Linked DNA regions of Anolis sagrei. The protein of the gene in region 2 purifies or fractionates together with the protein of the main gene of each other region. This does not show direct contact. Links are inferred from orthologs where the notes say so. Each region holds a gene or a part of one and is shown on either strand. Other genes may lie near its edges.

Region 1 (11,472 bases), about 110 Mb from region 2:
ATTTCAGTAAGTCTTGCGATGGTGGTAGGACCAAAAGAAGGGCCTCTCCCAAGGACCCAGGCAGGTTTGTATCAGGAGATACAATCTGCCAAATAGCTTGGGCCTGAGCCATACAGGGCTTTATAGTTCATGACTAGCACTTTGAATTGTGCCTGGAAACAGACTGGCAGCCAGTGGAGCTGTTGTAATCATGCATTTTTTGCTTCCCAGTTCAGGTCAGTGAAATCTGCAAGGTGGTATTTCCAATGCTAATCCATTGCACATGCATTGCCTCTACCAGATCATTGTGGGAACCCTTGCTTCATAGTGCTCAGCATTAAATATTAGGAGATGAGCACTTTTTCATCTTTTTAGACTCTCCATTCATGACCCATAAAGTGACAGAATTGGAATTCATTTAATAATTACTACTTGGCTGTTGTTGTTTTTATCACCCATAGACATCCTAGAAATATCTCTTCCATGGCCATGCTTTTTTGAGTTCCATTCTATTCTTAGACTGGAGAACCTCAAAATGTTTTACATTTTACCCCCTACCATTTCTTATTTCTTATTAACTATGATGGTTGAAGCTAATGGGAGTTGTAAGCAAAAACAATGAGGGAGAGATTCCCCAACCCTCCTTTATATCAAATCTAAATCAGCACAATGCATTTCACAATTTAAAGAAAAGAAAACCAATTGCCATTGTTAAGACATTGCTTATTCTATTGGCAAAAGCTTTACTTTGGAGCAGTTAGCATGAGTATTAACATCTGGATGAGAGAATAGTTACATGTAGCTAATATGAACAACACACATACTGTGTACTTACTCAAAAGAGGGGGGGGGGACATGCAACAACCCCAAATTATAGCAAACAGTATTAAGTACTGTAGCATTCATCAAATGCTTAAACATATGGACAATTTTTCAGTAGGAAAATATGTTCACAATAAAAATAAATCCCTCTGCCTTTCAGGGCTGCAAATTCCATTTTAAAGGAGCCATAAAGGCTCAGGGAGTCTCAGAGGAAACAATGCATTAAAAGTTTTCACTAAAAGTTGCCTCAGCCATCTGACCTTGTTGTTTTCTGCACAGGACTGTGAGATCTCCCGTCACCAAGATGTCTTTTCTACAAATTAAATACTCAGAGAAAGGTTCTCTCCAGACAGACATGTTCACTGTATATAACTTAGGCAACAGCAAATGGACATAACTTGTGTACACAGAGAGACCAGCCATGTATGCTAGCCCTCTAAGAGCTTGGTAAACCTCACACTTTGGCAAGCCATGCTATTTATTTTGAGATGTTTTTAAATATTCTCGTTCCATTCCTTTTCGAAATCAAGTGCTCCAAGCAGTTAACAACATCATAAATTGAAAATCAAATCATACAGTATAATCATATTAAAACACAGCAGAAGATGCAATGGGTTTCTCCCTATTATTGCTTAAATTATATTCCAGGACAAAGAAATGGGAAAAGTCACACAGAGGTCAGGTCAAAACAAAAAGGGCTTAAGATCATGATTGAAAACTCAGCAAGGTTTTGTTAGATTGTCAGGCTGGGAGTAGAATGAGCCAGATACAAAGTCCCACTCACCCATGAGACTCACTTCCTTCCCAATTATTTATTTATTTATTTATTTATAGTATTTGTATACCGCTTTTCTCACCCCGAGGGTTTACACATAAGTAATGGCAAAATTCAATGCCAGTACAAACAATTACAATTATACACTACAACTGGACATAAATCAAGTTTTAAAAGTACATCCACAAGCAATAAAACAATCATTAAAACAATAAAACAGTGTCATACAACAAATCGCCATTCCAGTCATTGTTTTTCTGAAATGCTGCATGCATTTACTTCTACTGCCTGAAGGCCTGGTCTCAAAACCATGATTTTAATTTTTTTCCAAAAGCCAGGTGGGAGGGAGTGGATCTTACCTCATTTGGGAGTGTGTTCCATAGGCGGGGGGCCACAGCCGAGAAGGCCCTGTCTCTTGTCCCCGCCAGACGCATCTGTGCTGTTGACGGGAGCAAGAGCAGGGCCTCCCCGGATGATCTTAGATTACGAGGTGAGACGTAGGGGTGGATGCATTCGGACAAGTAAGCTGGGCCAGAACCGTATAGAAACTTGTTGTGAGAATTGTATGGGAGGTGAATCGGGTATGCCACATTGAAAATACATAACAGATGGATCACCTGGGGAATTAGGTTTCATATTTACTGGGTGAAAACAGATAACCGTGTTTCTTTTCCCCATCCAAGATCAGAATCAATATTTGTTCCTGTCTGCCTTCAAGTCGTTTCAACCTATGGTGAGCCTAAGGTAAAATTATCACAGCATTTTCTTTGCAAGATTTCTTGTGAAGAGATTTGCCATTGCCTTCTTCTGAGGACGAGAGAATGTGACTTGCCCAAGGTCCCCCAGTGGGTTTCATGGCCAAGCAGAGATTTCAAAGCCTGATCTAACTTAAGATCTGTTTCTCCAAAATTGTATAGGAAATAGTATTTTGAAATGCTCCATTTTTCTATGCCCCCTTTGTTGCCTACTCTCTCTTCACACTGAGTTTTTCTCTCTCTAATACAGTGGTTCTCAACCTGTGGGTCCCCAGGTGATTTGGCCTACAACCTCCTGAAATCCCAGCTAGTTTACCAGCTGTTAGGATTTCTGGGAGTTGAAGGCCAAAACATCTGGGGACCCATAGGCTGAGAACCACTGGCCAAAGGGAAAGAGCAGAAGACATGTAAGGGATGGACGTTGTCCACTGACCCACAGGCCAGATATGATCCATGGGCAAGGCACAGAAGTGTCAAACTTGTGTGTCTCTAGGTGTTTGTGACTCCATCTCCTAGAAGGCCCAGCCAACTTGTCCAATGGTCAAGAATTCTGGGAGCTGAAGTTGAAGGCCACAAGTTTGACACCATTGGTCTAAAGATTTTTTCCCTATACATGTATTTGAATATCTATTATTTATTTATTTATTTATTTATTTATTTATTTATATTTATTTATGACATTTATATGTCGCCCTTCTCACCCTGAAGGGGATTCAGAGTGGCATACAAGTTATTTGTAAATGGTATAAGATTGGCTTACAAGTTATTAGATTGGTAGTATATAAAAATACTAATACTTAACTTAAAGACCTGGTAGGGCATTTTACTGGAAAAGGCTCTGCAGAAATAATGAATATTAGGAAACATGCTTCCATAAGAAAGTTATGTTATATATTCATCATTCATTAGATATGTGCCTTTTGTCATCAGTGGGGATTTGTGTGAAACAAGACTTTAAAGGATCAAATCAACTTTTAATATCTCAATAATACTGGAAATCGAATGTAGTCTAATTCAGTATTTTTAGGTGAAACAAATGTGACACGATATCATTGTGTGAGTGAATGTGTTTGCATTTGCCTGTTGTTGTGTGCACACAGATAAAGCTTTATCAAAAGTGGCCCATAGTGTTTATTCTAATTAGATGGGTAATTGGACATACAAAAGGTTAGCAGCTACCGACTTGATACCACATGTACTTTTTTGTAGTATAGAGCCAATCTTGAGCAAGTCTTCTAAGTTCTGTATGAAACTAAATAGTGTCCATACACAAAGCAGTGAAGAAAGAGCCAAAACTTACAGGAATGCATATTCAAAAACAAACATACAACAAGTTGGGAAAGGTGCAAGGTAGTGTTTGCCTGTCCTCAGTCCCAGATCCAAACTGCTTCATCAGTTTTAAGATAGTTCCTAATGTATTCTTAGCAAGAAACCAACATGCTCCTTGTACTACCCCTCCACAGTAAACACAAACCAGGCACACAGCTGTAGAAGCAATAGTAAAATAACAACACCAGTTTACAACACAAAGGCATCCAGAAGCAACGTGCAGTTGCCAAGAGTTACTTCCCTTGTACTACATAGATAATTTCCCACACATACACCCAAAAATACCATTAAAGAAACATGTAATAATGTTCTTATAGGGTTCACTTCTACTCTTGAGTACAAAGCCTATTTGTTTTCAAATTGTTCGTAAATTCTACTGTACCTGGTTTCGGCGTCTCCGTTCAACATGTGGAGGTTTCAGGAACACGAGACACTTCAAGAATAGGTGAAGCGGTGCTTGAATAGGTGTGTCTAAGTACCTTCTGCATGTTTCAGCTTGACAGCTCTCCCCTATCATGTGGGTGGCATTCTTACACAGAGGCAGAGGCTTGGAACTCAGAAAATGATATCACAATGCAAAGTTAACTCACTGAGTGCCTTATGATGCAGAGAGCAACAGTGCATTCCGGAACAAGACAGAGTCATATTTGTTCATGGTAAATGCAGAATTGTTACTCAGTATGCAGGATTCAGATAATTTATCTGAAGATGCATCTGGTGCAGGCATTCTGAGTTTTATGTGTACTCGGCAACTAATAATCCAGATGTTAGAAAATGCAACTCAGTCTTTTCTTCACATATTTGTGATTGCTGCACAGCCACAAAAATATCACATTGAGTGGTTGGGATGCAAACAGTGAAGATGGACACAATATTCTAGGCTTTGCCTGTCATTACTTGGACATTCATCAGAATCCTTTATGACTTGACATTATATAATGTCATTTATCCCTAGCTACATATCAGATACCCTTGTGCATCAAACTGGGGCGTGTAATAACATAAAAGCAGTCCTCTACTGGATATGGAGATGCAATTGCACAATTAATAATTTCTTTATGATGATGTGAGTCTCTAATAGGATTCCATCCATTATACACTCCTTAATAACACTAGCCTTTATTCAAATTCTCATAGGCCATTTTCCTAAAGCAGGAAATAGCATGAACTCCATTTCCAGTCTATGGATGATAGCTCTACAACTTTTTAAAATGTTCACTTTTGGTCATTAATTAAAAAGCACAGCTTGAAAACAGGATGTAAGTTGTGAAACAGCAATGACAGTCTATAAGAACTATGTCTGATAACATATATAACAGCTAACATGATTTGAAAATACCTGATAGGCCTGGAATTCAATAAATGTGCTGCCCATATTTTGTATCTAATAGTATATTTACCAGTATTTATACATGTATTATTGAAACCCCCAAGACTAGGGACCTCATCAAATGGGTTTTTCCCCCATCCTAGCACGTTGCCATGACGGAGCTGTGATGGAGCCTGACGGAGCCCATCATATGACTATTTGTCATATGAGCCCATCAGGACTACTTCTAGCAGCGCTCCATCTTCGCTCCATCCCGGCTGTGTGCTCAGAGGCTGGCCTGAGGTCACCTGTATCCTCATTGAAGAAGCTACAGACAGCACAGGCGGAAACCAGGGACAGCTGGGAAATGTCATGGGATGATAAGGGGACTGCCCTCATGGTTTCCCTCACTGCCCCACAATTTCTCCTGCTCTCCCACAGTTTCCTCCACTGTCTCCCAGCTTCTGGACCTCAATCTGATGAGCTCCTAGGTGTCAATAAGATACATTCCAAACCTTCCTTGCTTGGAGTAAATTAGGGTTTCATATAAATCTCAGATCATATCAGTTCAAACAAATATGACAGATTGAACTCTGAAGCTCTTTGTTCACTTCGGGGAAACAATCTAGGGTGGGGAAATCAATAATGACTCCAAATCAATGTCTGATTTGATCATGTGATCACATGTAAATCAGTAAGCACACTTTTAGTATTGGTCCCCTTCTTGAAATTGATTAATCAAGGGGATTTTAGGAAATCCTTATCTTTGCTCATTAATATGATCAATCCAATCCTATACATCTGTAACCCAAATATTTTCTGGTGAGCAGCAGAGAAGATGTGACTGACCCCAAGCGTGTACTATGTGAGGACACATACACGGTGAGTGAAAAGAGACAACCATTGAGCTACTGTTAGAAGGTGGCTCTTCTGGTCAGATAAATAGTATTCAATCTGTTGTGGCTGTATTATACACTCATCAAATTGTATGTTGTTATGATTGACTTTTGCTCTTGTTGTGAACCGCATTGAGTCGCCTACGGGCTGAGAAACTGCAAAGCAAAGTAAATAAATAAATAAATAAATCACCTAGATGTTCTGGATCCCCTTTTAAAATCTATACTACACATATTTATCTGTAACAGTTTTAATATTCATAAACTATCCTGAGTACTAGTTCTCAGGAAACAGCATGGAAATAAATATTAGCTTGATTTCACTGCCAGGTAGTGGACCATCCGATATTTGGGGGAAGAGAGCAATGGAAATAGCGAATCAGAGCTTGGAGGACACATGTAAGCCATAGCTGCAGAATTTTGAATCCAAGCATTATAAAGGTTACTCAAATATATTTGTGGTGTAAGTAACCTTCACAGGACAATGGAAATATTTTAGAACTTCACACCATGAAGGGAAAGAAGATTTTGTATACTATACTCTGGGAATGTATTTTTTTCTTCAAATCCATCACCACACACACACACCTCCCCCAATGGCAGATAAAAGTCATGGTAGAAGTTAAAAGTGCTGTTTCTTATACTCTACATACATGTGTGTGTGCACACACACACGTTTATTCTTGTTTCCATCCCATATTAATGGACCTAGTCTATAGGGGGGAGGCAGAGGGAAGAGACTTGAAAAGTGCTGCCAAAAAAGTAAATGAAAACAGAATTCTACTGAATCTCCATGTTTGCAACACTACTATAGAACTTTTTTTAAAGGAAGTCTTTACATGGCCTTCATTTCGTTTAACAAAGCAAGAGCTGGGACTCTTGTATGCAATGTTCTTTCTCCGTTGGTCCTACGAGCGGAAGGTTAAGGCTCTCTCCACCCCCATCCGAGCAAAGGAGCCAAGAGAAAGGAGAAACGGTCTATGCTGTACTGCTGCTGCTGCTACTGAGCACAGAGGCCTCCTTTTCTCGAAATGTGATTTATGGAATGAAGCTCTTGGCATGTCTGCCACAGGCTGTCACAACATGTGTCAGAGCTCCAAGACTGAAATATTATCCCATTGCCTTCCAAGAGGCATTGTGGCTTCAAGCAAGTTCTTTTAGCAACCCAAAAATTGCAGGCAGTCATTTTCTCAGGAGTCTGTATTCTTCATTCTTGCAGCCATGTGAAAGGAATATTAATTTGATGCAAGCCTGTAGCTGGGGGTGGGGGGTTGGTATGGGTTCAAACACACACATCCTGAAACTTTTCAGGTTCAAACACACACATCCTGAAACTTTTCAGGTCCAAACACATACATCCTGAAACCTTTCAGGTTAAAAAAAAACTGGTTAACTCGTTATTTTAACTGGATAATCAAGTCCCTATGCTAAGTCTAAGAGAAGCAAAAATTAGAGTTCCTCCTGAACTGCAAGCACTATCTCAACCAGATTTTGCTATTTTATTCACACCATCATTACCTACCTTTCCACCAATTTACATTGCAATAGCAGCAATAACCAACATAGTGGAAGCGACCAAGTTGCTGATGTCTAATCAACATTTTCGACATGAAGATGATTTAATCCACCAAAACTGATATCAGAATCGGACTCCTTAGGTTAAACTCCATAAGAAAAACTTAAGTTTGAATACAATTTATGATGTTTCCAGATATAATAATAATATTAATAACAACAACAACAACAATAATAATAGCTTAAAAACAAAAACAAAAACAACAATAACAGATCCCAAATGTAGACTCTGCAAGGAAGCAGATGAAACAATAGATCACATCCTCAGCTGCTGCAAGAAGATCGCGCAGATAGACTACAAGCAGAGGCATAACACCTTTGCTCAGATGATTAATTGGAACTTGTACCACAAAATACCATCTGCTTGTGACAAAGAACTGATGGGATCACAAGCCGGAAAAAGTTACAGAGAATGAACACGCCAAACTCCTCTGGGACTTCCGGATTCAGACAGACAGAGTTTTGGAGCATAATACTCCTGACCTCACAACCATGTTAAAAAATAAAGTATGGATCATCGATGTCTAAATCTCAGGTGACAGCAGGATTGCAGAGAAACAACTGGAAAAGCTGACACAATATGAGGATTTAAAAATTGAACTGCAAAGACTCTACAAACCAGTAAAGGTGGTCCCAGTGGTGATCGGCACACTGGGTGCAGTGCCTAAAGACCTCGGCCTGCACTTAAACACAATCAGCGCTGACAAAGTTACTATCTGCCAGCTACAGAAGGCCACCTTACTGGGATCTGCATGCATTATTCGCCGATACATCACACAGTCCTAGACACTTGGGAAGCGCAAAGGCCCTCCCAGCCACCACTGACACCTGAGCATCAAGCATTAAAGCCAAGTCCAGAAGGACCCCCAAACTGCAGACCTGTGTCCTAAGGGAGAGTGTAACCTTGTTGAGCACAGGTTGCCACCCTATATCCCAATCGGCCCCACGACTGACCTGGAGGACCTTTATTTTGTCGGGATTAAGCTTCAGTTTGTTAGTCCTCATCCAACCTATCACAGCAGGCACTAGTCAAGGATCCGAGGGGCTTCTACTCCTTGACATCTCCTGTTTCTTGACCATATGAAATTTTCTTAACCATATGAAATTTTATCTTCTGTTCTTAATGCGAAATTCCATGTTCCAGTTACTTCATTGGTTTCTGCTCATCTAGTGTATTCAGTTTAAAATTAAATGTCCAGATTTCAATAACTGTTATTAGTGTGTTTAGTGCTTCGCACCTTTGTTTTCCTTTCCAGTTTTATTTTCCTTTTATATCATATGGTGCATACTTTTATGCTTTGTGGCTGAGTGTATTATGTGTTTGTCATTGTTTATTGTTTGTCTTTTATGTTTTTAATTTACTGCACAGAACTAAGAAAGGCCTGGGTTTTGGGTGGTCTAAAATTGCAAGAGATGAATGAATAAATCACTCCCGGCTCCTTAACTTTCAGCTTTTCTTCAGTTGTATGTTTCTTTCCTTCCTTCTCAGACATATTGTTCTTTGAAGCCACAGCACAGTTCACTTCTGCTTTTCATCCAACAGTAGTTATTGGGTATTGTTATTGGTCTCATCAAACCTGAACATAATGGCCAGAGTCCTGCTGGAGACGTAAATTTTCATAACTGCACTTTATCTACAGGGATTAAAATCTGGCAGTTCCGCAATGCGTATTCATTAAAGGCTGCTCTTAAATTACAATGTAGGGGATCCAGCAAAGTTACCAATGTTCATTAGACTAATTCACAATGGGAACCAATATGCATTTGTCCTATTGTGCATTGGAACATTGGCTAGGAAGTGCCAATGTGTATTAGTAGAGCCACATTCATATTTGGGCACTCTTGCTGGTGTCCTGTTACGTATCATCGAAATTCATTCATAGAGTTTTTTAGACCATCTGCTATGTAGCTATTTCCGGTATTTCTACCCTGTCTCTTCTCGACCCCCGAAGGGGGACTCAGGACGGCTTAAGTATGCATAAAGTGGCATAACACTTCCCATGATAGGTACAGTTTCAAAATGGTGCCAGTCATATGGTTAAACCAACTGCTGGTGACTGTGTAGTCACTTAATTATCATATACATGTTCATATAAAAACTAGAAGTACAATAAGGAAGACGTCAGCTTAGTCTGCTATGGGAGAGATTTCCACAGCCTGCAAGTTGCCACCAAGAATGTTGTCTCCTATGTCCTCACCAAATATATTGATGAAAGAAGTGGAACCTGGAGAAAGTCGTCTCCCAATGATCTTAAACTCAGACACGCTTACATGGTGATAGGATATCATGTTTCTAATTTCCATTGTATTCCATGTCTCTCAGCAGGAACATTGGGGGGTTTCTCAGTTGTAAAATACCTGGCTGTGTGCACAATATAATACAAAGTGGAAAAATTTACAAACTAGACTAAGCTTAGTGGGGCCCATCCTCAAGGTGATGTGGGGAAAAACCCACCATCATTCAGGTCATGAGACACTTATGATGCATAAGGAAATTGATGCCACTTTCTCAGTTAGTCAACAGCATAGCTGCTAAGGACCTCATCACATTGAGATCAAAATTGTGGATGATAGAGGAGGGATTCTCCATGGATCATGGTAAATTCTTCAGGGGAGGGGGGTGGAAGGAATCCATCACCCCTTACCTCATCCCATATGTGGGTGAAGCATTGCCATTCAGCTTCCCCCTGATCTTCTCAATGAGAACATAGGAAGCGTACTGTATTCTTATTGCTGCTTCTTACGACAGTTTCACCTCACTTCAAGGACGGAGCCCTACCGGAAGTAGATCTACGCCATCTGATGGGATTTGCCTGGCTGCCCCTGAAGTTAGGTGAAACTATTGTAGGATGGGTAATTTTGCCCATATTATGAAGTCCCAAGTTATGTGAGGTGTTCACATGACTTGGGACTTCATAATGTGGGCAAACTGCATAAACTCTATTGTGAAAACCTTGTAAAGAAAGAGCTATGTGTGTGTTTTTTCCATAAGGAAAGGGTTGACCATGAGTAAACTGTACAAAAATTTATTGTCTCCGTTTGTATACCTAGTTGTTGTTTATTTGTTCCAGCTCTTTGTGACCTCATGGACCAGCCCATGCCAGAGCTCACTGTGGCTGTGGCCACCCCCAGTTCCTTCAAGTCAAGCCAGTAACAAGTAGTCTGTATTAAACTATTAACTATGGGTTATGTTCATCTTCAGAATGCTTTCAGGTCCATGATTGTGGCCTCACCTCCATGACTGGGAATGTGACTTTGCAGCACAAAGATATTTCATGCTACATGTAACTTCTATTATTCGTCATAGATATGGCCAATTAAAGGACTATCTTGAATTGTTAAGCTGAGGGAAGAAGAAAGGGTACATGGTCTTCAAGGAGCCATATGACATGTCCTTGTCTTCTTCCCTGCAAAGATATGGGAAGATATTATGAAGGGGAGACAGAAATAACAAGCTAATGGACTGATATAACAGTCACCTGATGCACGGAAGCTATCATTATTAATTATATCTTTCTTCAGCGGGCTCTGCGTCATGTTTCCAGCCTAATTAACAGAAACACTCAGTTATGTTTTGGATTAGTAGTGAATTATTTCCTCCTTACCCGTACTGCTCTTCATTTGCTATGTATAGCAGCCATTTAGAATTTTCCATCTCAAGGAGTAGGAAAATCAGAATGCAGAATACAGTAGATATAGGCTGCATGTCATCTCCCACCTATAAGAAAGGGATGACTTAATGCAACAACCGTTGGAATTTTTAAATAAGCCTTTCCCAACTGATTGTTATTCAGACATGTTGACTGAATTTCTCATATGCCCTCCCAACATGACTGTTTGAAGGGCAATACAGGTAGGGGTCAGCTGTGTTTAATGTTGGACAAGCCACAGGGAGCAACATGTCTCATATAAGTGTAAATATGACCTACATTAATATAGGAAAAAATACATGTAAGACACAGTGAAAGAGTATGCTTCCTAAGATGAACAACCCTGCATCCATCTTGATTGTTTTATATTGCAGCCTTGTTG
Region 2 (11,131 bases):
TTTGTGGAGACAGCATAGTGGTCTTAGAATCGTGAAGCTGGCAGGCAAACATCCAACCACTCTACTAATGCAGAATATGTATCACAGAATCCCTGTCATGTGCTATCAAGTCCCGGGCTGAAACACAACAAAGGGTCCATTACCTTACAAGGCAGTATATTCCACTACTGATCATCTTGTACCATAAGAAACTGAGTCCTACCACATGCACAATAGAGGACCTTCTCACAGGGACACCAGAGGCACTCCAAGTGGCCAGTTTCTAGTCAAAGAACATTTAGCATAATGCAGAGTTCTTTTAAAAACTTTTTAAAAAATGCATTTTAACTGGATCCTCAATTTGCTTCTGACACAATAAATAAATACCATAAGAAAGTTGTTCATAATGTTTTATTCACATCCTTTTCTTCATAATTTGAACTCACTGTTAAAGTCCTACAGCCAGGAGCTTCAGAAAATACATTTCCGCCATCATTTATGTGACAGCCCTTCAAATATTTTAAGATGACTGTAATCTCAACCATTTCTTCTTCAGGCTAAATCTATCCAATTTCTGAAACATTTACTCGTAAGAGCTGGTCTCTAGCCCTCTCAACCCAGGTATATTGACCTATTTGTCAATATCTTTCTTAAACTATGATACCCAGAACATGCCAACATTACTTCTGTTTTAATGAAGACTCTAGCACTGCATTAACCTCTTAGCAATGAATTACACTGTTGATTTATGCTTACCTTGAGGATCTACATAAAACCTTATTGCACCCTAAAGAAGCTTTTTCTAGTCTGGTACTATTCTCCATATGTTTTGGACTACATCTCCCACTACCACTGACTTGGTCTTGCTAGCAGAGGTAGCTATAGACCAAAACATCTAGAAGATCTATGTTGGGAGATGCTGCTGTATATGTTGCATATAACATGCATTACATGTCATAAGGATTTTTCTAACACTGCACTTACACCCTACGACTTCATGCAAAGATGCATTTTTAGGTTTTTTTTTAAGTGACTCTTGTGATGTGCAGTTTGTACACAAGATATTAAATCGTTTCATCACTGTAATACTTCAAAGACAAAAATGAAATGTTTTCTACAGAATTTAGTAATTAAAGTGTTATTAATGGAAACAGAATGGAATTTAATTATTTGCTATGAATTAAGTGGTTTAAACATGTTTTGAATTTAGGGAGCTTTAATTATCAGTAATTCATTACACTTTAAAGCATTTATAGAGCATCTGATCTGAGGGTTTTCTCAGAAGTATATTCTGAAAGTAAATCATGAAGGGTGACTATCCCAACTTAATCATGCCACAATAACAGATGTATTAAATAAAGAATAAGTTAGGAAGTGAGAACTAGAAAGGAACATGTCAAACAATGATCACAACTTCCTATGCTTGTGCCTTCCTTAAAGTAGCAGGAAGTAAGGATTTCCCTTTAAAAAAAGGGGGGGGGGGCAACTAACTTTCATGTTCATAATTCCTCCTCCCAGTTAGAATGTGTGCATAGAGGAAGTTGACCATCTGAGCAAAATCTGGGGGAGCAGGGAAAAGATATATAAAATGAAAGTAACCAAACACTAACAACGTGAACAAAAGCTACAACACTGGAGTTGGCACTAACCATTTGACAGCATCTCTCTTCAAGTGTACATAAACAGAATACTATTAGCTTCAAATAGATGTTGGGGAGGCTGAGAGATGGGATATCCCAGGAAACCCAAAACTACTCCTCCTTCAGATCTGTTGTAATATGAATCACTGGAGGAAAGTCCCATCCTCCTCCCTTTTTTTCCTCCAGCCACAGACCTTCACTTGACCAGGAGTCACATTGTAATCCAAGGTATTCTCTCTCTTTTTTTACCACTTTCAGGCAAACACACCAAACAAGATGAGAGGGGATGAAATCTGTGCACTCAAAATCATGCTGTGGACTCTGAACACATAGAGCAAAGAGATTTATCTATTCGTCTGTTGTGTGAGATGGGAGATTAAAACGCTAATAATGTCTAAAAGCAGAACTGGATTGTGAAACCACCCTTCCGCTTTCTCCACCTGCCTGCCTCAAGAGGGAAAGAGTAAAAGCATTGGGGTGTGGGACATGATATTAGTCTGTAGCATCAATAACAAAGACTAGTCTTGTAACACCTGAAAGGACTTATCAAATTCATTACTATTTATAGAAATCAGAAAATGTTATCCCTAAAAGTTGTCAGGTAGAGAGAGTGAGTCCTAAAGACACACAATGGTAAAGGTAATGGATGAGTACTTTGACTTAAGAGTAATTGAATTGGGGGTGGGAAAGTGGAGATAGACAGGAGTCGATGGCAAAACAGGCTTCAGATAGGAAGAAACCAAAGCACTAGGCATAAGGGTGGCCCTTCGATGCTTCTTCCCAACTCTCAAAGTACAGATTGAGTATTCCTTATTCGGAAATCTGAAACACTCCAAAATTGCCCATACAGGTGACTGAATTAGTGACAACTTAACTTTCTGATGGTTCAAACTTAAAACACAAATTAATACAAAAATGTGTTTAAACTTACCGTCAGGCTATGGATATGAAACATATGTTAATTTCCTGTTTAGATATACCCATTTCCAAGATATCTCAAATATTCCAAAATCTGGTGTGTGTGTCACCTCAATCAAAAAACGCTTCAGGTTCACACTTGCCTCAAACAAATATGAGTTCTTTCTCCCATCCTGGACATTCCACAGATATATATACACCTCCCCTGCCTAGTTTCCAACAAACCTCACAACTTCTGAGGATGCCTGCCATAGATGCAGGTGAAACTTCAGGTGAGAATGCTTCTGGAGCATGGTCATACAGCCCAGAACACTCACAGAAACCTTATCACTGTTAGTTATCATTTTACATTTTAAATAAAGGGCTTTCTGAAATCCTGGGTTGATATGAGTTTTCTGGGCTGTATGTTCCAGAAGCATTCTCCCCTGATGCTTCATTCTCATTTATGGCAGGCATCTTCAGGATGCGGTGAAACATTCTCACAGATGTGGGCGAAACGTCAGGAGATAATGCTTCTGGAACATGGCCATACAGCCTGGAAAACTCACAGCAACCCAGTGCCATCTTCACTTCCACAAACTTTGTGTTATGTGCAATACATTTAAGAAAGTTACGTATAACCTTCAGGGTATGAATATAAGGTGCACATGAAACACAAGTTAATTCCCTGTTTAGATTTGGGCCTCCTTTCCAAGGTGTCTCATTATGTATATCTAAACTATTTTTAGGTGAATTTGTTGTTTTGAGGCACTGTGTATGTGCCATTGTATGCCGCCTTGAGACCCTGCTGGGATAGAGAAAGGTGGGGTATAAATACGGCAAATAAATAAATACTGTATATACTCGAGTATAAGCCTAGTTTTTCAGCCCTTTTTTTAGGCTGAAAAATCCCATTTGGCTTATACTCGAGTCAAGATTATTTATTATTTAATTCTATTATTATTATTATTATTATTATTATTATACTCTAATTACATTTATTATTTTACTCTATTGTTATTATTACATTTATTGTTTTACTCTATTACTGTTATTATTACATTTACTATTTTACTCTATTATTCTTGGAAAGATGTACAAATATATTTACACTGAAAAAGGTTGGTATCATGGTTTAATCAGAGTTGGACAGTCTTATCTTAAATTACAGTTTTATGTAAATATTCAAAAACATTTCACCTACTGTTTCCTCAATTAATGTAATTTTATTGGTATCTATATTTATTTTGTATTACCGGTAGCTGCTGCATTTCCCACCCTCGACTTATACTCGAGTCAGTAAGTTTTCCCATTTTTTGGTGGTAAAATTAGGTGCCTCGGATTATACTCGGGTCGGCTTATTCTCAAGTATATATGGTAAACACATGAATAAATGCAAATTCATTCAAAAAATGAAGGGGAATCAAAAATCAAAAACACTTTAAAGTCCCAAGTGTTTCAGACAAGGATAAGTGACCTTCACTTCCACAAACTCTGTTTTATGTGCAATGTAATTAAAAATGTTATGTACCACCTTCAGGCTATGTATCTACAGTGTGTTTGAAACATATGCCAATTCCCTGTCATCTCATTAGGAATATCCAAATAATATGCTAGATCAAAAACACTTCAGGTCCCAGATAAGGACAAGGACACTTCCTTAAAGTTGAGTAGTTGAGATAAAAAAACCTGAACGTGGGGTGCGGCACCTCTCCCCAAAACAGGCATGGGTAAACTTTGGCCTTCCTTCCAGGTGTTTTGGACTTCAACTCCCACCATTCCTCACAGCCTCAGGACCCTTCCTTTCCCCCCTCAGCCGTAATTTTTAATTACGCTAAGCGGCTGAGGGGGGAAAGGAAGGGTCCTGAGGCTGTGAGGAATGGTGGGAGTTGAAGTCCAAAACACCTGGAGGGAAGGCCCAAGTTTGCCCATGCCTGCCCCAAACCTTTTCCACACATACCCCCCTTCTCTCTCCCGAGTTGCCCCGCTTCCTGAGGGAAACTCTACCTCGGCGCTGTTGCCGCTTTCCGCCGCGTTCTCCACGGCCATCTTCTGCCAGGGGTCGGCCAGCTGCGCCAACGGCATGGTGGCCCCTTAACCTGAAGCGTCCCTTCCTCCCTTCTTTTTCCGCTTCTTCCTCCTCCTCCTCTTCTTCCGCCGCCTGCTTTTCCTCAGAGTCCCACTTCGGCTCAGGGTCGGGCTCCTTCCTCCTCCCCGCCGCGGGGAGGAGACGGGCGGAACACGCTCCCTTCCTTTTCCCTGCTTTCCTTCCTTCCTTCCTTCCTTCCTTCCTTCCTTCCTTCCTTCCTTCCTTCCTTCCTTCCTTCCTTCCCTCGCGGAGGGAGCGCAGGACTTTCCAAGCCGGAGGGTGAACAACCAGCAGCGCCGCTTCTGCCGCTCAGCCCGCTTCCGCTCCCAATATGGCGGCGCCCGAGCCGTACCTGCCTGTCAAAACGAAGGGGGATGGCGTCATCCCAAGGCGGACCAATCAGAGGCGGCGGCAGGTAGTTTTTAAAAGAGGGCGTGGCTTAGGAGAGGAGGGGGCTGGAGAGTTAATCTGGTTGCGACAGGCGTGGGAGGGGGAAGAGAGAGCCGGGAAGAGAGAAGGAGAAGGGAGGGGCTCCCTGCCTCGCGACAAAGCCCAGCCGGTCCCGCGCGTCATTCCTGGCGCGCGCCTTCCCCGCGTCAGTTCAGTGGAGTGAACCCTTCGCCTCCCCCAATCGCCGCCGCCCGCTTCCAAGCCGTGACGACAGTTCGCAGTTGGAAAAAAAAAGTCATTGGAGTCGTCCTCCTCTCCCTCCTCCTCCTCCTCCTCCTCCTCCTCAGGAAGTGGTTTCCGTTCTGGAGGGAGGCCTTCAGTTCTATTACTTTCGGCCTTTGTTACTTTGGGGATAGTATGATAGCTGTGTCCGGAAGCGCACATTTCGTAACGGCGTTCGTGAATAAGGGAAGAAAAGGGGCGGAGGGAGAACGTGGAGAGCGAAGAAAGGATAGAAAGGAGGGGGCGCTAAGGGTAAGGGCTAAGGCAAAGTTTAGGGTTACGCTTAGGGGTTATTTATTTATCGTGTCAGGGGCAGACCAAACAGTTGCATATGTTTATTTTTTAACAAACAAACAAAACACAAGTTTGCAAGATTGGTAGTTGATTAGATGTCCTTTGACCAGTATCTGGCCACTTGGAGTGCCTCTGGTGTCGCTGCAAGAAGATCCTCCATTGTGCATGTGGCAGGGCTCAGGTTGTATTGCAGTAGGTGGTCTGTAGTTTGCTCTTCTCCACACTCGCATGTCGTGGATTCCACTTTGTAGCCCCATTTCTTAAGGTTCGCTCTGCATCTCGTGGTGCCAGAGCGCAGTCTGTTCAGCGCCTTCCAAGTCACCCAGTCTTCTGTGTGCCCAGGGGGGAGTCTCTCATTTGGTATCAGCCATTGATTGAGGTTCTGGGTTTGAGCCTGCCACTTTTGGACTCTCGCTTGCTGAGGTGTTCCAGCAAGCGTCTCTGTAGATCTTAGAAAGCTATTTCTTGATTTACGTCGTTGACGTGCTGGCTGACATCCAAATGGGATGAGCTGGAGATGTCACTGCCTTGGTCCTTTCACTATTGGCTGCTACTTCCTGGTGGATGTCAAGTGGTGCAATACCGGCTAAACAGTGTAATTTCTCCAGTGGTGTAGGGCGCAGTTACTTTGGTGATAGTATGATAGCTGGGTCCGGGAGTGCCAGGCGTTACGCACATTCCGCAATGGCGTTTGTGAATAAGGAAATAGAGGGGGCAGAGGGAGAGCGTGGAGAGCGAAGAAAGTATAGAAAGGCGGGGGCACTTAGGGTAAGGCTAGGGCAAAGTTTAGGGTTTGGGTTAGGGTTACGCTTACGTTTGTGAATAAGGGAAGGGGTGAGCGGCTCACTGAGGGCGGGAATATACTTCAGTTTGGTGGAAGGATAGAAAGGAGGGAAGGGTTTGGGGTAGGGTTAGGCTTAGGGGTTAGGGTAAGGTTTAGGGTAGGGGTCCTCAAACTTTAAACAGAGGGCCAGGTCACAGTCCCTCAAACTATTGAGGGCCGGATTATAGTTTGAAAAAAACATGAATGAATTCCTATGCACACTGCACATATCTTATTTGTAGTGCAAAAAACATGTAAAAACAATACAATACTTAAAATGAAGAACAATTTTAACAAATATAAACCTATTAGTATTTCAATGGAAAGTGTTGGCCTGCTTTTGGCTGATGAGATAGGATTGTTGTTATTGTGTGCTTTCAAGTAGTTTCAAACTTGAAAGCACACAATAACAAACTCAAATTTACCCTGAGCGAGGACTGGGTAAATGACCTTGGAGGGCTGCATCTGGCCCTTGGGCCTCCAGAAAGGCTATATATCCCAGGATCTGATCCCGGGTTTTTTGTTTATATGAGTTCGCACTACCAGATAATCTGGGATAAAGAAACGGATCGGATCATGGGATATGGGGCCTGCTTGGAAGGGCCCTAAATGAACAGATGGTGCTCCTAAGTGTTGTATTTGGCTCAGTGCTGTGGAATCCTGGGATTTGTGGGTGTATAAAGTCTGTATGTAGCCTTACAAAATGTGCTGCTATGTCACCGAGCTACATTGCACCATAGTATTGAGCCATGGTGTTCAATGTCATCATAGCATTGAGCCATGGCAGTTAAAGCAGTGCCAAACTGTTAATTCTACAGTATATAATGATGCATCCAAAGTGTTCTGTGGCACTGTAGAGACTAACACAAGGTACATCTATACACTGAGGGTTGAGAAGAGTCAGGTGCAAATATCTGAAATAAATTATTAATGCAGTTTGGCATAACTTCAGTTGCCCTGGCCCAATGCTATGGAATTCTGGGATGTATAATTGGTAAGTCCCCAGCACCCTGGCAAAGAAAGCAAAAGATCTTGCAAAACTACAGCTACCAGGATCCCATAGTATTGAAGCCATGGCAGTTGAAGTGGAGTCAAGTATTGGCATATCTGCATTTATTCTAGTTTGAGCTGTTCCCCATTTCCACAAAGGGATCTTCATTCTGTTACAAGCTGAACATTCCTCACCCGGAAATCCAAAATATCCAAAATGGTCCACACAACTGCATGAGATAGTGACACCTTTACTTTCTGGTGGTTCAGTGTTCACAAACTTTGTTTCATGCACAACATTATTAGAAGTATTGTGTATAAAGTGACCTTCAGACTGTATATGTAGCAGGTGTATATCAGGCATGGGCAAACTTCAGCCCTCCAGATGTTTTGGACTTCAACAATTCCTAACTCTCCTAATTGTGAGAGTTTAACTCCAAAACACCTGGAGGGCCTAAGTTTGCACATGCCTTGTGTATATGAACCATACATGTATTTCAGGTTTCAAGTTGGGTCTTCTTTCCAAAATATCTCATTATGTAAATATTCCAAAATCCAAACACTTCTGGCCCAAAGCCTTGTGAATAAAGGATACTCAACCTGTATTACACTTTAGAGAAAGAATATTCAATCTGCAATTTGGATAATATTATAATTCAGAAAATGTGATTATAGTTTATGGAAGCCCAAATATATAATTACATTTTATTACTGTCTATGCTTTCATCATGGTTAACAGTCTTTCCTTTCTTTCTCTACAGTAGCCTCTCCTTGTAACAGCCGTTTCTACACTTTGAAGATGTAAAGCTCAATCTATTTTTTTTTTGTCCATGAAATGCTGTGTTCATTTATTATTCTGTAAATAACTTCTGCTTTTGTTGTTCTGAATTATAAATTCAACAGTCCTAGGGGCTGAACACACAAACCCACAGCCAACCCTACTTAGAACAACCCCCAAGATGCCTGGGATTGCTGCTTTTCTTTGGATCTGCTTACTGTGGGCTTCTTTTTTTCTAAGTAAACATACATCAGATGGTGTTGCAAAGATCCAGTCCTGCTCAAACTCAATGGGACTTCTAAGTAAACATACATAGTGTTGTGATTTTAGAATAGATTTAAAAATAGCATGCTCCAGGAGAGGAAACGCTGCAGGGGTGCGGGGGAGGAAATTCAGAATACATTACGGGACTTGGAAAGCCATCCCCTTCTTCTGCCTGCAATTTCCTCTTGTTTTGTTTTGTTTATTTTGCTATTTTTCTCACAGCAGGATCTATATCCAATCAAAGAGTCTCGCAGGGAAATAAATGGCTAAAAATACTACATATTTCAGGGCAGAAAGCATAGTGATGCCGCACTTTGAAGCTTCTTGACTACACTTCCTGCTTTGTAGGGGTTTGGTAGGGAGTGACTCAGTCCTGATACATAGGGCTGCTGCTACCATTACATCCAATTTGGCTTTTATAGTTGGACATGAATATCCAGGCTTTTCTTGAAATACCGCCAAGTAGGAAGCCTGTTCTCTTGCTCGATTGTTTTGGATGGCTAGAGGCGCACATTTCCTGATGGGATTGAAAATATGACATAGTGTATCAGAATGGCCAGACAGGAATCTTATTTACCTGTCTATACATGACCTCAAGCCACAAAGGAATATTGATTCCTTCATTCTGTGTATTATGAAAGAGATAAGAGGCGTATAAATGCATTTAACTGGAACTCAGCTGTGTTGAAATACTTTCTAAAAATGGTAGTATTAAACTAGGATAGCTAGTGATGGGGTATACTCCATTGACCATGACATGACCAAGTTTTCACAACTGAAAATATACTCGTCTGTGGGTCTTCTGAGGAGCCAACTGACTTGTTAATTGTCCCGTTATTTTGTTCTCTTTGTGTATATGATATATTTTTTTTCCTCTGCTCAAACTGACAATCAGTTTGCAGATACTCACATGATCATTTTAGCACGTGAGTAGTTTTCTATCATTTAATCTCCCTGCAGTGTGATTTGACATCCTCCAGGAATTTAGAATATTTGCCAGTGTTCTGATGTAATCTTGAGAATGTGGATGTGGGTGGGATTGTTGCAGCCACAAGCGGGAGATCTAACGAAGTACATTTGAATAAATGGGGATGCTCCTCTCCCAATTTTCATTCTGAGAGAAACACCAAATGCTCATTTGGAAGAGTATCCGGAGGACAGATGGCTCTTTTTTCCTGTTCCATTCCTTCTGAGAGGAAAAAGGGGGGAATCTATATATTTATATGTATGTGACACACCTTCAAAAGCTAACTAAAATGTGGGAAGAAGATTGAATATTTATCCTTATGGAAGAACTATGACTAATAATATGGTATGTATAGCATACTGTACCTGTGTTTCCACCCTTTCCATCCTGTACCTCAAAGATAATATGCATGGTCTTTCCTCCAGTGGTTTTATACTAACAACCACCTTATGGAGCAAAAATAGTACCTGTCCCAAGTTCCTGCACCGAGCCTCATGGGTAAATGTGGATCTGACTCTGGATGTTACACCTTGTTGTTCAACACTCTAGGTCAGGATGTCAAACTCATTTTCACGGAGGGCCACATCAGCCTTATGGTTGCCTTCAAAGGGTCATTTGTAATTGTAAGATTGTATAAATATAACTACTTCTTAACATACTGTTAAATAGCCTGAGAACTATATCACATAGATGAAATTATGTTGCTCTGGAGTTAAAAGCCCAAAATATAGTGGTATATGAATACAACAAAAAACTGGCAAAAGAAGGCAATCCATGGACAGTTCCTGGGAAAAATTGAGAGCCAAATTGACAAAGAAAAAACATGGCTGTAGCTCACAAATGGAACTCTGAAAAAGGAGATGGAGGGCCTGATTCTGGCAACCCAAGAACAAGCCATTTGAACCAATGCCATCAAAGCCAGAATTGAAAAGCAGATAACAGATCCCAAATGTAGACTCTGCAAGGAAGCATATGAAACAATAGATCACATCCTCAGCTGCTGCAAGAAGATCGCACAGACAGACTACAAGCAGACACATAACACTGTTGCTCAGATGATTCATTGCACCTTGTGCCACAAATGCCATCTGCCTGCGACAAAGAACTGGTGGGATCACAGGCCGGAAAAAGTTACAGAGAATGAACACGCCAAACTCCTCTGGGACTTCCGGATTCAGACAGACAGAGTTTTGGAGCATGATACTCCTGACCTCACAATCGTGTTAAAAAACAAAGTATGGATCGTCAATGTCGCAATCCCAGGTGACAGCAGGATTGCAGAGAAACAACTGGAAAAGCTGACACGATATCATTATTTAAAAATCGAACTGCAAAGACTCCGGCACAAACTAGAAAATGTGGTCCCAGGGGTGATCTGCTCACTGGGTGCAGTGGCTAAAGACCTTGACCTGCACTTAAACGCAATCAACGCTGACAAAATTACCACCTGCCAGCTGCAGAAGGCCACCTTACTGGGATCTGCACTCATTATTTGCTGATTCATCACAGTCCTAGACACTTGGGAAATGCCCAACGTGTGATCCAATACAACAGCCAGTGGAGTGATCTTGTCTGCTGTGGACTCATCTTGTTGTGTTTCAAATAATAATAATAGCAAGAAACTATGTTGCTCTGGCATTGAAAGCCTAATACATGGTGCTATATAAATAAATGAATAATACAATAACAGAAAGATGAAGCTATGTTGCTCTGCTATTGAAAACCTCTCACATGACAG

Evidence for each region.
Region 1: the proteins of RPS6KA3 (region 2) and FGFR2 purify together in Homo sapiens (affinity purification with mass spectrometry; 3 studies listed by BioGRID and IntAct, counting the BioPlex papers as one, with this or other methods). This does not show direct contact. The link is inferred for Anolis sagrei from reciprocal best matches to the Homo sapiens genes RPS6KA3 and FGFR2.

Annotation. Positions count from the first base shown.
Region 1 is NC_090023.1:200,543,684-200,555,155, reverse strand, and holds the start of FGFR2 (fibroblast growth factor receptor 2), read right to left. Parts: upstream 4,150-11,472; 5' UTR 4,043-4,149; intron 1-4,042. UniProt on the Homo sapiens protein: Tyrosine-protein kinase that acts as a cell-surface receptor for fibroblast growth factors and plays an essential role in the regulation of cell proliferation, differentiation, migration and apoptosis, and in the regulation of embryonic development.
Region 2 is NC_090023.1:88,380,693-88,391,823, reverse strand, and holds the start of RPS6KA3 (ribosomal protein S6 kinase alpha-3), read right to left. Parts: upstream 4,963-11,131; 5' UTR 4,602-4,962; coding exon 4,524-4,601; intron 1-4,523. UniProt on the Homo sapiens protein: Serine/threonine-protein kinase that acts downstream of ERK (MAPK1/ERK2 and MAPK3/ERK1) signaling and mediates mitogenic and stress-induced activation of the transcription factors CREB1, ETV1/ER81 and NR4A1/NUR77, regulates translation through RPS6 and EIF4B phosphorylation, and mediates cellular proliferation, survival, and differentiation by modulating mTOR signaling and repressing pro-apoptotic function of BAD and DAPK1.